Oryzias latipes: one gene and its partners. The protein of the gene in region 3 purifies or fractionates together with the protein of the main gene of each other region. This does not show direct contact. Links are inferred from orthologs where the notes say so. Each region holds a gene or a part of one and is shown on either strand. Other genes may lie near its edges.

Region 1 (3,759 bases), on a different chromosome or scaffold from region 3:
TTTTTTTTTTTCCTGGAGACTATGTGTTTTCTTGGAGTGTGAAAACTCGCATTGTGGGGAAAAACATGCTAGCTAAAGAGACCTGGCAACAATGCTTCATTTGGATGATGGATTTACTAAACTCATAAATCAGGAAATGTATTTTAGATGCATATCTGCATCAGAAAGGAATTTTCAACAATGGAAGGTGAGACTGAAAGACGGACATACTTGAGCAAAATTTGTACTTTTTGGTCTTCCATCACTCAAAAACAAATATATATTGCTCTTAGTTTACATTTTTTTTAAAGAAAAACATTCACATTTTAGATTTCTTACTTTAGCAACAATATATTTGTCTTAAATATAAAAAACTCACACAGACGTATTTATATGCAGCAATTAGCAAGAACATATTAGAAATAGCTAAATTCACAAGAACATTTTAGTACCTTCTTCAATGCTTCCAGTTTTGGCATCCTTCTTTTTCAGTTTTTTCTTGGAAATCTTCTGAAAGGGGGCAAACTCCACCACTGCAGGATATTCTTGACCTAAAAATTTTTTTTTTTAATTTGTTATTTAGCAGATAATCAAGTTAATAGTTTAACTTAAAGGCCATAAATGTGCCTACAGAGAATATTACAGTTTGTGTTTTGTTATTTGTAGTTATTATAAACAAAGTCAAAGAAATTTGAACCAATACCTTTGTTGTCGATAAAGACGTAGCCGTCAAATCGATCCCTGAACAACACGATATCCTCAGTGTTTTTAAAATTGATATATGCTCTTGAAAAAAGGTGGGGATACAGACTGCAATAAAAAAAGAAGGAAAAAAATAAAATTAAGAATATAAAACATATTTATTGAAAAAATGAGTAGTTTTTCAAACAAGTAATAAATCACAACACACCTTTGATCTGCTGAGAAGAACTCAAAGTAATCATACGATGGGAGCGGACTTAGTTGTTCTTCAAGCTGTTCTTTTGAAAGGTTAGGTGGCAGTCTTCTGATCACAACCTGTGTACAACCAGTTACTCCAAGGTTATTAACTGCTGTTCTCAATGAGTGTAAAGTCTCTCCACAAACTTTCAGAATTAACTTTATTTAAAAAAAAAAAAAAAACTATCAGTCCTGACCAAAAGCTTGACAAGTTCAAACATTTTTTTCAAATCATTACCGACTCATTTAAGCAGACTAATAAAACTAAATACTGGAACCTGTAAAAGAAAGATGCAGGATATGACATGGAATACACAATTATTTTAAATGTAGTTAAAGCTACAACAAAAGTATTTCTGTATGATACTTTTAAAAATGTATTTGGCTAGTTTTCAAAATATGTTTATCCTACTATATAACAGCATCAAAATGGGCAACAGTCAACAGACAACAAATCCTGAAGTGCAACAGGATATGCAGAAAATTAAATAACCAAAAAATAAAAAAAAGATGTTTTGAGTGACATGGAAAGATCTTTTAAGTTATTTTACTGATTTCTCACCCTTGTTTGTTTCCACATTTTAAATATTCAATTCCTGAAAACAGTCTACTGTGCCAAAAGAATAATAGAAACATGTCCTCGTCGGCCTGTTTTATTACTGCTGCCACTTAAAAATGAGTGCAGTTGTTTTTAAACAAAGCAGGTTAAATTTATTGACATGGGTTCAGAAAGCATTATGAAATAGTTAAAATAGGGGTCTGCAACTTAAAGCTCCAGACCCACATGTGGGTCTTTTACCTTTCATAGTAGCTCGCTGGCTAAAGACAAATAAAATGATAGTAATTACATCCTAAAGTGAGGGTTTGTCTGTTTGATTTATTTAAATTTGTTAGGTTTTATAAAATCACAGGTCCAGTACCTGTGATTCTATATTTTGTCTATTGCATCATAAAATAATAAAGTCATGTTCACGCACGCACACACACATACACACACACACACACACACATATATATATATATATGTCAGCAGCAGTAATAGGAGTTATAGGGAAAAGGTGCCCACCAAGGAAGACCTAGGTTATAACAAGAGAAAATGCCTTTATTGACTCATTGTTTTAAAATTTGATAGGAGTGTACTAGCGACACAGGAATGACCCTATTAGAATATATTTTATTTAAAAGAAAGACATGCAATTCTTCATCAAAATAAAAACAAAAAAACAATTTCATTTTTTTCCAATAATTTTTCTCTGACAGCTTTTAATTTTAGTCAAGCCAAATAAATAAGTGGATAAATACAATTTCAACATATTTCAACAGTAACAACGATACGAATGCAGAGCAGTGTCAAAATATGTGAAAGGGTAAAAAAGACTTTAGGTAATCCGTGAGAAAAAGCCCAAATGGCTCTTTTGGTATTAAAGGCTGCTGACTCCCACTGTTTGTTCCGTCTTTCATTTTTAAAAGATATGGAGCCACATAATGTGACATTGTTGTGAGGTAAAGATGAAATATTTGCTAAACATAGTGGAAATGATTGAAAATCGTGCATTTACAGTCTTTTTCGCTGTCCTCGGTGCTGAAATGATCAGCCACTTCCTCCATGTCTGTTGTCTTCATCAAGAGTAAACAATACGGCGCGTACCAAAACGCTGCTTCACTCACCTTTGAAAAGACCTCCTTCTTCTCTTCTTTTTGTTTGAGATGGCAACCTGGGCTCTCCTGCTCTCTTGGAATGTCCTTAAATTGTATTTCGACACTTTTCTCCGTGTCCACGGCCATTTGGTCCTTTTCAGACCTCATTTCTCTACATCTCCTACGAGCTGTGTGCTCGCGATAACTCACGAAAGTTATCGCGAGAGTACGCGTAGATCGATGTTGGATGCGGGTGTTATGTTTAATGAAAACATATATTTGAGTACTTTAGTTACATAATGATGTTATGTGTGACCTTCATTAACACTTATTTTGTAACGAGTAGAAGAAAAAGGCAAACAATAATTCAATACATATTTTGACATAAACGCTGTTCATCTCCATATGCTCCCTCTTCTTACCGCGCAGCTGGGATGATGATCTACGCGATCCGTTCGCCATCGCTTGTGATCGGATTACTGGAAACTGCGCTTCCCTCAAAGCTGGAGGACCGAATCACTGACAACCCCTGAACATCTCGAGAGGGAACTAGAGAAAACAGAACCAAAATGGAGAAACCACATATTTGTTAAAGTTTCATATGGGACAGGAATATTGATTACAAACTGGTAGAGATATTTTTGTTTTGACGAAAACATTTATTTGACAATTTTTTTTAATTATTTTTTATCAGTCTCACCATTTAAAAACGCCTGCTTCCCGCTGCTGTTCTCGGCGCGCACTCGGGGTCTCTCCGGTGTGGAAACGGAGCTCCTCAGGCTGCTGGAGAGGAGCGTGGAGCAGGTGTCCAGATCCCTGCAGACCCGCTCATTAGTGCAAATACCTGTGGACTTGGACGGAGTACAACCCATCCCTCCTCCAGAAACAAACACTCTTAGATCTAGTGGTGGAAAGACAGTCAGGAAAGGATGGTGGGATGTTGCCCCTTCAAGCAGAAGTCTCTCCTCCCCTCACATGGAAGACAGAGGACTCTTCTAAACAGACAAGAAGTTAGCCTCAGTCTCAGGAGTTAATTTGAGCGCACAAAAAGCTCAATGGTTCCCACAAATTGCTAAGGCAGCCCTGTGACCCCGAAAGGGTACATGGATTCTGCGGACACAATTTAGTATTTTGTGCACACAAATTTGCATTTTATGGCCACAATTTGGTATTTTGTGCACACAAATGAGCATTTTATGACCA
Region 2 (3,759 bases), on a different chromosome or scaffold from region 3:
CTGCTTCTTTGGCAGACCTGAATACCAGCACAATGAAAACAATGAAGAGATTTATATTTTTAAAAGGAGTCTTCCAGGCAGAGTAGCCAAAGCAAAGACAAAATATAACTTAATACATTTTTTTATTTGAGATGGTAGATTGAGGTTAAAATAACAGAAAGTGATTCAAGGTATGACTTGGTTTCTATAATAAAGGCATGTTTGAATTAAAAAAAAAATAGCTTCAACAAAAAAAGTACACATAATAGGGAAAGAAATGACAATAAAAAACAAAGATAAGTAATTCTAAATCTGATTTCTAAATTATTGGTGATAGAAAAAAGAAAGATGGATATCTGGGCTTCTGACTGTGTCTCTACCTGAATCTGCGTCCTCTCTGCTGGTTCATCTTGGCCCTGGGTGCCACACCATCCACTGCCATGAAGAAGACCTTGCGAGGCTTGATGATTCTGAAGAGCACCTCCAAGTAATGGAAAATGTCAGCGAAAATCTTTTCCTCAGAGATGCGGAAGTGAACGTCCTCATCATTTGGGTGGGAGCACTGGTGGATGATGCCATTCATATCCAGGTAGAGATTGTCGAACTCTGGAATCTGAGAGAAGAAAGCAAAAAAATAATAATAATAAAAATAATAATATTAATACAGTGTCATGCATGTATATGTTCTCAAATACTAATAATTTGTTTTTTTGATTTGTTTTATTTTTCTACTAAAAACATTTAACCGTCTCCAGAAATCCCCTGTCCCAAATTCCTGGGAGACAACACTAATAACAGATGCAAAAATAATCTTAGGTGTTAGTATTTAATAAATACCCAGTTATTAGGGGTGTAACCAATAAATCAACTTAATCAATTCATCAAAGGCAATTCAGGTCGGCCAATGATCGCAGGGTTGGCAGTTCAATCCCCGCTCCCCCCCAGTCAACTGTTGTTGTGTCCTTGGGCAATACACTTCACCCTCCTAGTCTCCAGTGTGGCTACACTGGTGCCATACTGTGCTCAAAGCGCTCCACTGTAAGCGCCTTGAATTTTAGAAAAGTGCAGAGAAAACCAATCCAATCTTATTATTATTTTTATTATTATTATACTCCAACAATCCAACCAGATGGATCTGTCTGAGGCAAGTTGGTAATCCAATCGACCTATAAAACTTATCAAATTGATTCAAAATTGTAAGGAAAACAAGAAATCTGGAAACATTTGCCAGCACCGTTCAGTGCCCAGGTATTTATCTCTGAGTGACAATGGTTGAAGTTTTGGCTAAAGATGTCTTGGATCCATTTTATGTCAGTGAATCGGATCGTTCAAAACAAAACATTATCGCTGTGAATCGCCACCCAATTACTGAAATTATAGTTTAAAAAAAACAACAACATAAAAATGGAGAGTAAAAACTTAGGGAAATAAGCTGACATGGATTTTAGTGCTTGCACAGCTGAAATTTTGGTGTTTGCTTACTGATTTTAATAAGCCTAGACAGTCACAAACCATTGTAGAGCAGGTTTTTTTTTTACTTTTGTAACACCAATTTGTCATTTAAAAAAATGATTATATTTACAGTTTTTATTTTGTGGAATAATAATTTTCATTATTATAGTATTGAGCAGCCCAAATCTGAAAGAAAAAAAGACCCAAAACGCTTTAAGGAACTGGGAGTAATGACGTCTTTTATGGATTTATTGAAATCGTTTATCTGAAGTCCTCCGGCCAGCTACAAGAAATTGCTCTAAAAATTTTAAAACGAAAAAGCAAAAATAAATAAACAAATAAATTAAAAAAATAAAGAAACAGAATACCCCACACTTTTGTCAGTTGGGCTTTGGTTAAGACTTCTCCTTCACCAAACAGTTACAAAATAGAAAACAACTGACAGCTTTCCAACACAAGGAGCGCCAGACTGAACAAGTCTGATGAAATGACTGTTTGGAGACTGAAATAGCAACTTCCGCTCAAAAATCTGAATCACTTACGTTAAATTGATATTTTTTTAAATGTTAAAAGAAAAAAATGTTCAAACTAGTGCAAGTCTTCACACCATTTGTTAACTATGGCTACTAAACAGCTATTAACATTATAACGCTCTACCTGTTTACAATTATTAGGCTTCATTATTATTAATATGTAGATTTTATTGAAATTACAAATAAAAAGCAATACATTCATAAAATTTGTATATTTAGAGTGTATGACTCACTAAAGTAACTCAAATAAAACATTAGGGCGCTAAACTTAGTGTAGGAATATAAACGACGTACGTCGTACTGAATGTCAGTCTGGTATGTCGTGCGTTTAGAATTATTTTATCACGTGTGGCATTATTTATTTATTTATTTTTTCAAAAATAATGCTCTTAAGAGTGAGCAAAGGCGGCTCAAAGTTTCGCCTCCAACTGTAGCAAACGGCTAGCTATGCTAAAGGTGTGAATTGTGAAACAATCGACCCTGACTGCTCGGTCCTACCTGATGTTCCTTGACAACTTCACTGAGACAGGGGTAGCGCTCCGAGATCCAACGGTAAAATTTGGGTACTCCCATCTTCGTCACAAAGCTCTAGACTGTAAAAATGTTAACACTGAAAGGTTATCTCTAAGTACTCTCAAATGTTTGACTCGGTAACATCAGAACTTGCTTTAGAGTCCGGCTTTGTTTCCGTTTGCTAGCTAGTTGTCCATCCGCTAAACTACTCCGCATGTATTTGGAAAACAACAGTAAAACATAAGTTCCGCTCACCAGTTTCCTTTGGCGTATTTTTCAGTTGACAAAAATCTTTTCGATTGAAGATTTACGAAAAAACACGTTTTATCTTTGTACGCGGTTTCTAAAAATAATACACAACACAGTGTACTTTGTAAGATAGTTAAGTTCCATATTTTTGTTTATTTTTGAACGGCTGCGTATAGTGTTACTAGCACATAAATTCGTTTGGCTTTCCATTTATTTGTGTTGAACTTTTGTTTGTGTTGTAGGCATTGCGACAACTTCAACAGATGAACCTAAGCGGAAAAACACCGTTTTTCCTTTTTACATTAATTTTCAGGCTATTATAATTTAAAGAATGTAATTTTTCTGGTAAATTGTACTGAAAAGTCAAAAGAGAAATGCAATTTTGTATTTTTTTCTTGAGTCGAGAGCTGAAAATATTATTTTAGTATAGCTCTGCATAAAGTACAGTTTATCCATCTGTATGTTGGTTTTTCAAAATGAGACTAAAAATTAAATATAGAAAAACATTACTATACTAAGGGTAAAAACAAAAAATATACAGTATTTGGTAATACAGCTCTGGCATTCTAATAGGCTTTCAATATCTTTTTAAATATAGTACTTGACATCTAGAAATAAAATCGGCCTTCTTCTTGCTTGCTTTTAGGAGCATAATTATATGTATTTATCATTTTGGGTAATACTTAGTCCCTAGTTTTAACAACAGTAGATTTTTTTTCCTTTTATGAATTGATAATGCATTTTACTGAAATTATTTTCAGCATTGTGGTAAAGGTTTCAATTAAACATTTTATTATTCGTGTTCTTAACGGTGAGTCAGGTCTGTTGGAAATTCTGTATATTCCCGTTTTAATTATTTGTTCTGTGTACTGTTAATATTCTCATTCAGGTAAGTAGCTCTGTGGCCAGGAACAAATTTCCTCTCTGAGGACAAAGTTTACCTCACCTTAGTACAATTACGTATGTGCTAACCTCAACTTTTTATCTTAGATTTCCTCATTTGTACTAAAAAAAAAAAGCTGGTTTGTCATAT
Region 3 (2,552 bases):
TCTGTGTGCGTTTGTGTGAAGGTATGGGGTGATCATTGTGGGGAACCCCAAAGCCCTGTCTAAACAGCCTCTGTGGAACAACCTGCTGAACAACTACAAGGAGCAGAAGGTTCTGGTGGAGGGGCCCCTCAACAACCTCAGAGAGAGCCTCATGCAGTTCAGCAAACCCCGTAAACTTGTCAACACCATCAACCCCGTGAGTACAACCTCCTGCACCACTAATTCCAAGGCAGATCGGACTTTTTCTCAACATGAAAATGACAATCCAGAAAGTAATTTAAAATTCAAAATCAGATTTTGTTCATACTTTTTACTAGAAAAACAAAAAAGCATTACATTTCTTTTTTAAACTTGGCTTTATTTGAACTTTTACACACTTCTTAGGGGACTGAATTTGCCAAAGTCCAGCAAAATTATTTTTTAAGTAATTTTATTATATTTTGAATAAACATAATATATAGATGACTGTTAGTTTAGGCTTTAAAGAACTCCAAACTCTTTGTTTGTTCAGGGGGCTCGTTTTATGAGCACTGCCATGTATGACGCTCGAGAGGCTCTCATCCCTGGATCTGCATACGATCGAAGCAGCACTGGTATTTCTACATCTTTTCACATTTGTAAACATTCAAAAATGATCTCAGCAACTGTTGTCGTTTGTAAACCCCGTGTCTTCAAATGCTCTTTCAGCTGGACGTCCGTCCAACATGTACTTTCAAACACACGACCAGATTGGAATGATTGGGGCGGGCCCAGGTCACATGGCCGCTATGAATATCCCCATACCGTTCAACCTGGTGATGCCCCCAATGCCTCCCCCAAGTTACTTGGGTCAGGCGAACGGCCCTGCTGCAGGTAAACCAACCATTGCCGCTCTGCAGAAGCTATGACCTGCAAAAACAACACAGATTTCTTGATTTTGGCTCAAAAAAGGCCTCAAAAAGACACCTGGGAATGCTTTTAAATGTCTTAAAACATGATCAAAGTGGGACTTTAAATACTCAGATTTGTCGTTTTCTAAATGGAAAGGTGTCCAACCCATGAATAGGGTCACTTAGACCAAAGTTCTTCCCTGTTTTTAATACTTGACATTGGCCAAAATTCATTTATCCTGCTTCTTGTGTTTTGCAAAATGGTTAGAAATGATCCTTCTCCTGTTTTTATGAAGGCCGTGGGGCTATGAAAGGGAAGCCCGGGCGCAGCGGGCGGCAGAGGGTCCGCGGCATCGGGAACCAGGGTCCCGGGCAGGTTAACGGACCAAACAGCCAGGTCAGCCAGGATGGGGCCTCCCAGTCTTTCTCTCAGGGGCCGTTGACCCAGGGCTACATCTCCATAAGCCAGCCCTCTCAGATGAGCCAGCCCGGCCTCTCCCAGCCCGAGCTGTCTCAGGTAACCCATGCAGGGTGTATGCATAATACAGATTTTGCATTTTTTAAAGTAGAATCCTAATTTTTATTCAGTCAAATATGTACAGATCATTGAGGAAGTGTCTGGTCTTCTCCTCTACAGGACAGCTATCTGGGTGATGAGTTCAAGTCCCAAATCGACGTGGCCCTGTCCCAGGACTCGACCTACCAGGGCGAACGTGCGTACCAGCATGGCGGAGTGACCGGACTGTCACAGTACTAAAGTGTAAGTCACAAACTGTATCGGGGCACATTTAATTCTATGTCAAGACAAAACTACTTAGAGTTTACTCCGTTTTCAGCGCAAAGACAACACTTAAGGGTTTAATCCACCTGTAAATCTGCAGAACTTTGTTATGAATGCTTGGCTAAAACCTATAATGCAAAAGACCCCTGATAGTGTGTTTTACATCTGGCAGGTTGGCTGAAGAAGGGAGCTAGGCTGGAGCTGAGCTTAGTTCATCAGCTTTTAAATCTGGGAAAAAATAAAAACATAAAATGGATACCTGTTTTCCTCTGCTACATCCGAAGCACCACCAAGTGAAAGCGACGGGATAGCGAAACCAAACCAATGACCAGCGAGCGAAATAAGAGGGTAGAAGAAGAGAGCACTAACCGATGCGCATGGAGATGGAAGGAGAGGCCGCGTGAACAAGCGAAAGGCAGGAAGCGATGCCCGTGGGTAGTGATGGAAGGAGGTCGAGAAGATGGCGGCGTCTGGTCGGGCTGCTGAGGGAAACGTGAGAGATCAACAGTCTCTGAGAATCCAAAAGAGGTTCAGTCCCAAAGAAAATGATCCATGCAACAATGCCCCCCACACACAGTCCCTGTGAAGGCTTTAGTCCAGTTTACTCGTCGTCCGACGAGAATCGAGGCTTTTCAGCGGAATCTGAAGAATTCTTTCTCCAAACCTGGACAGAAATGTGTGCGGGAAGCTTTCAAGCATTCAGCACAGACAAAAATACAAGTCCCCCATGCTGGATGTGGGTTGTCTGATCAACCCGAACAACGTCCAAGACTCTTAAAATTAGGTTAATCGTGGGAAGTAATGTTCACCCGGGCCCTGACTCCTCGGCAGCCTACGAAGGAAGCAGCGGTCGACAAACCTTCTGAGAGAGGAAACAAAAACGCTGGTTTCTGTGCTCGAGT

The links.
Region 1: the proteins of upf1 (region 3) and regulator of nonsense transcripts 3A purify together in Homo sapiens (affinity purification with western blotting; 5 studies listed by BioGRID and IntAct, with this or other methods). This does not show direct contact. The link is inferred for Oryzias latipes from reciprocal best matches to the Homo sapiens genes UPF1 and UPF3A.
Region 2: the proteins of upf1 (region 3) and xrn1 purify together in Homo sapiens (affinity purification with western blotting; 4 studies listed by BioGRID and IntAct, with this or other methods). This does not show direct contact. The link is inferred for Oryzias latipes from reciprocal best matches to the Homo sapiens genes UPF1 and XRN1.

What each region holds. Positions count from the first base shown.
Region 1 is NC_019879.2:7,277,987-7,281,745, forward strand, and holds the start of regulator of nonsense transcripts 3A, read right to left. Parts: upstream 2,774-3,759; 5' UTR 2,725-2,773; coding exon 2,587-2,724; intron 997-2,586; coding exon 890-996; intron 790-889; coding exon 683-789; intron 531-682; coding exon 432-530; intron 1-431. UniProt on the Homo sapiens protein: Involved in nonsense-mediated decay (NMD) of mRNAs containing premature stop codons by associating with the nuclear exon junction complex (EJC) and serving as link between the EJC core and NMD machinery.
Region 2 is NC_019875.2:19,744,786-19,748,544, forward strand, and holds the start of xrn1 (5'-3' exoribonuclease 1), read right to left. Parts: upstream 2,686-3,759; 5' UTR 2,538-2,685; coding exon 2,463-2,537; intron 593-2,462; coding exon 360-592; intron 18-359; coding exon 1-17. UniProt on the Homo sapiens protein: Major 5'-3' exoribonuclease involved in mRNA decay. Required for the 5'-3'-processing of the G4 tetraplex-containing DNA and RNA substrates. The kinetic of hydrolysis is faster for G4 RNA tetraplex than for G4 DNA tetraplex and monomeric RNA tetraplex.
Region 3 is NC_019862.2:13,859,554-13,862,105, forward strand, and holds part of upf1 (regulator of nonsense transcripts 1), read left to right. Parts: intron 1-21; coding exon 22-196; intron 197-511; coding exon 512-593; intron 594-687; coding exon 688-852; intron 853-1,165; coding exon 1,166-1,386; intron 1,387-1,506; coding exon 1,507-1,626; 3' UTR 1,627-1,629; intron 1,630-1,822; exon of another isoform or gene 1,823-1,934; 3' UTR 1,935-2,552. UniProt on the Homo sapiens protein: RNA-dependent helicase required for nonsense-mediated decay (NMD) of aberrant mRNAs containing premature stop codons and modulates the expression level of normal mRNAs.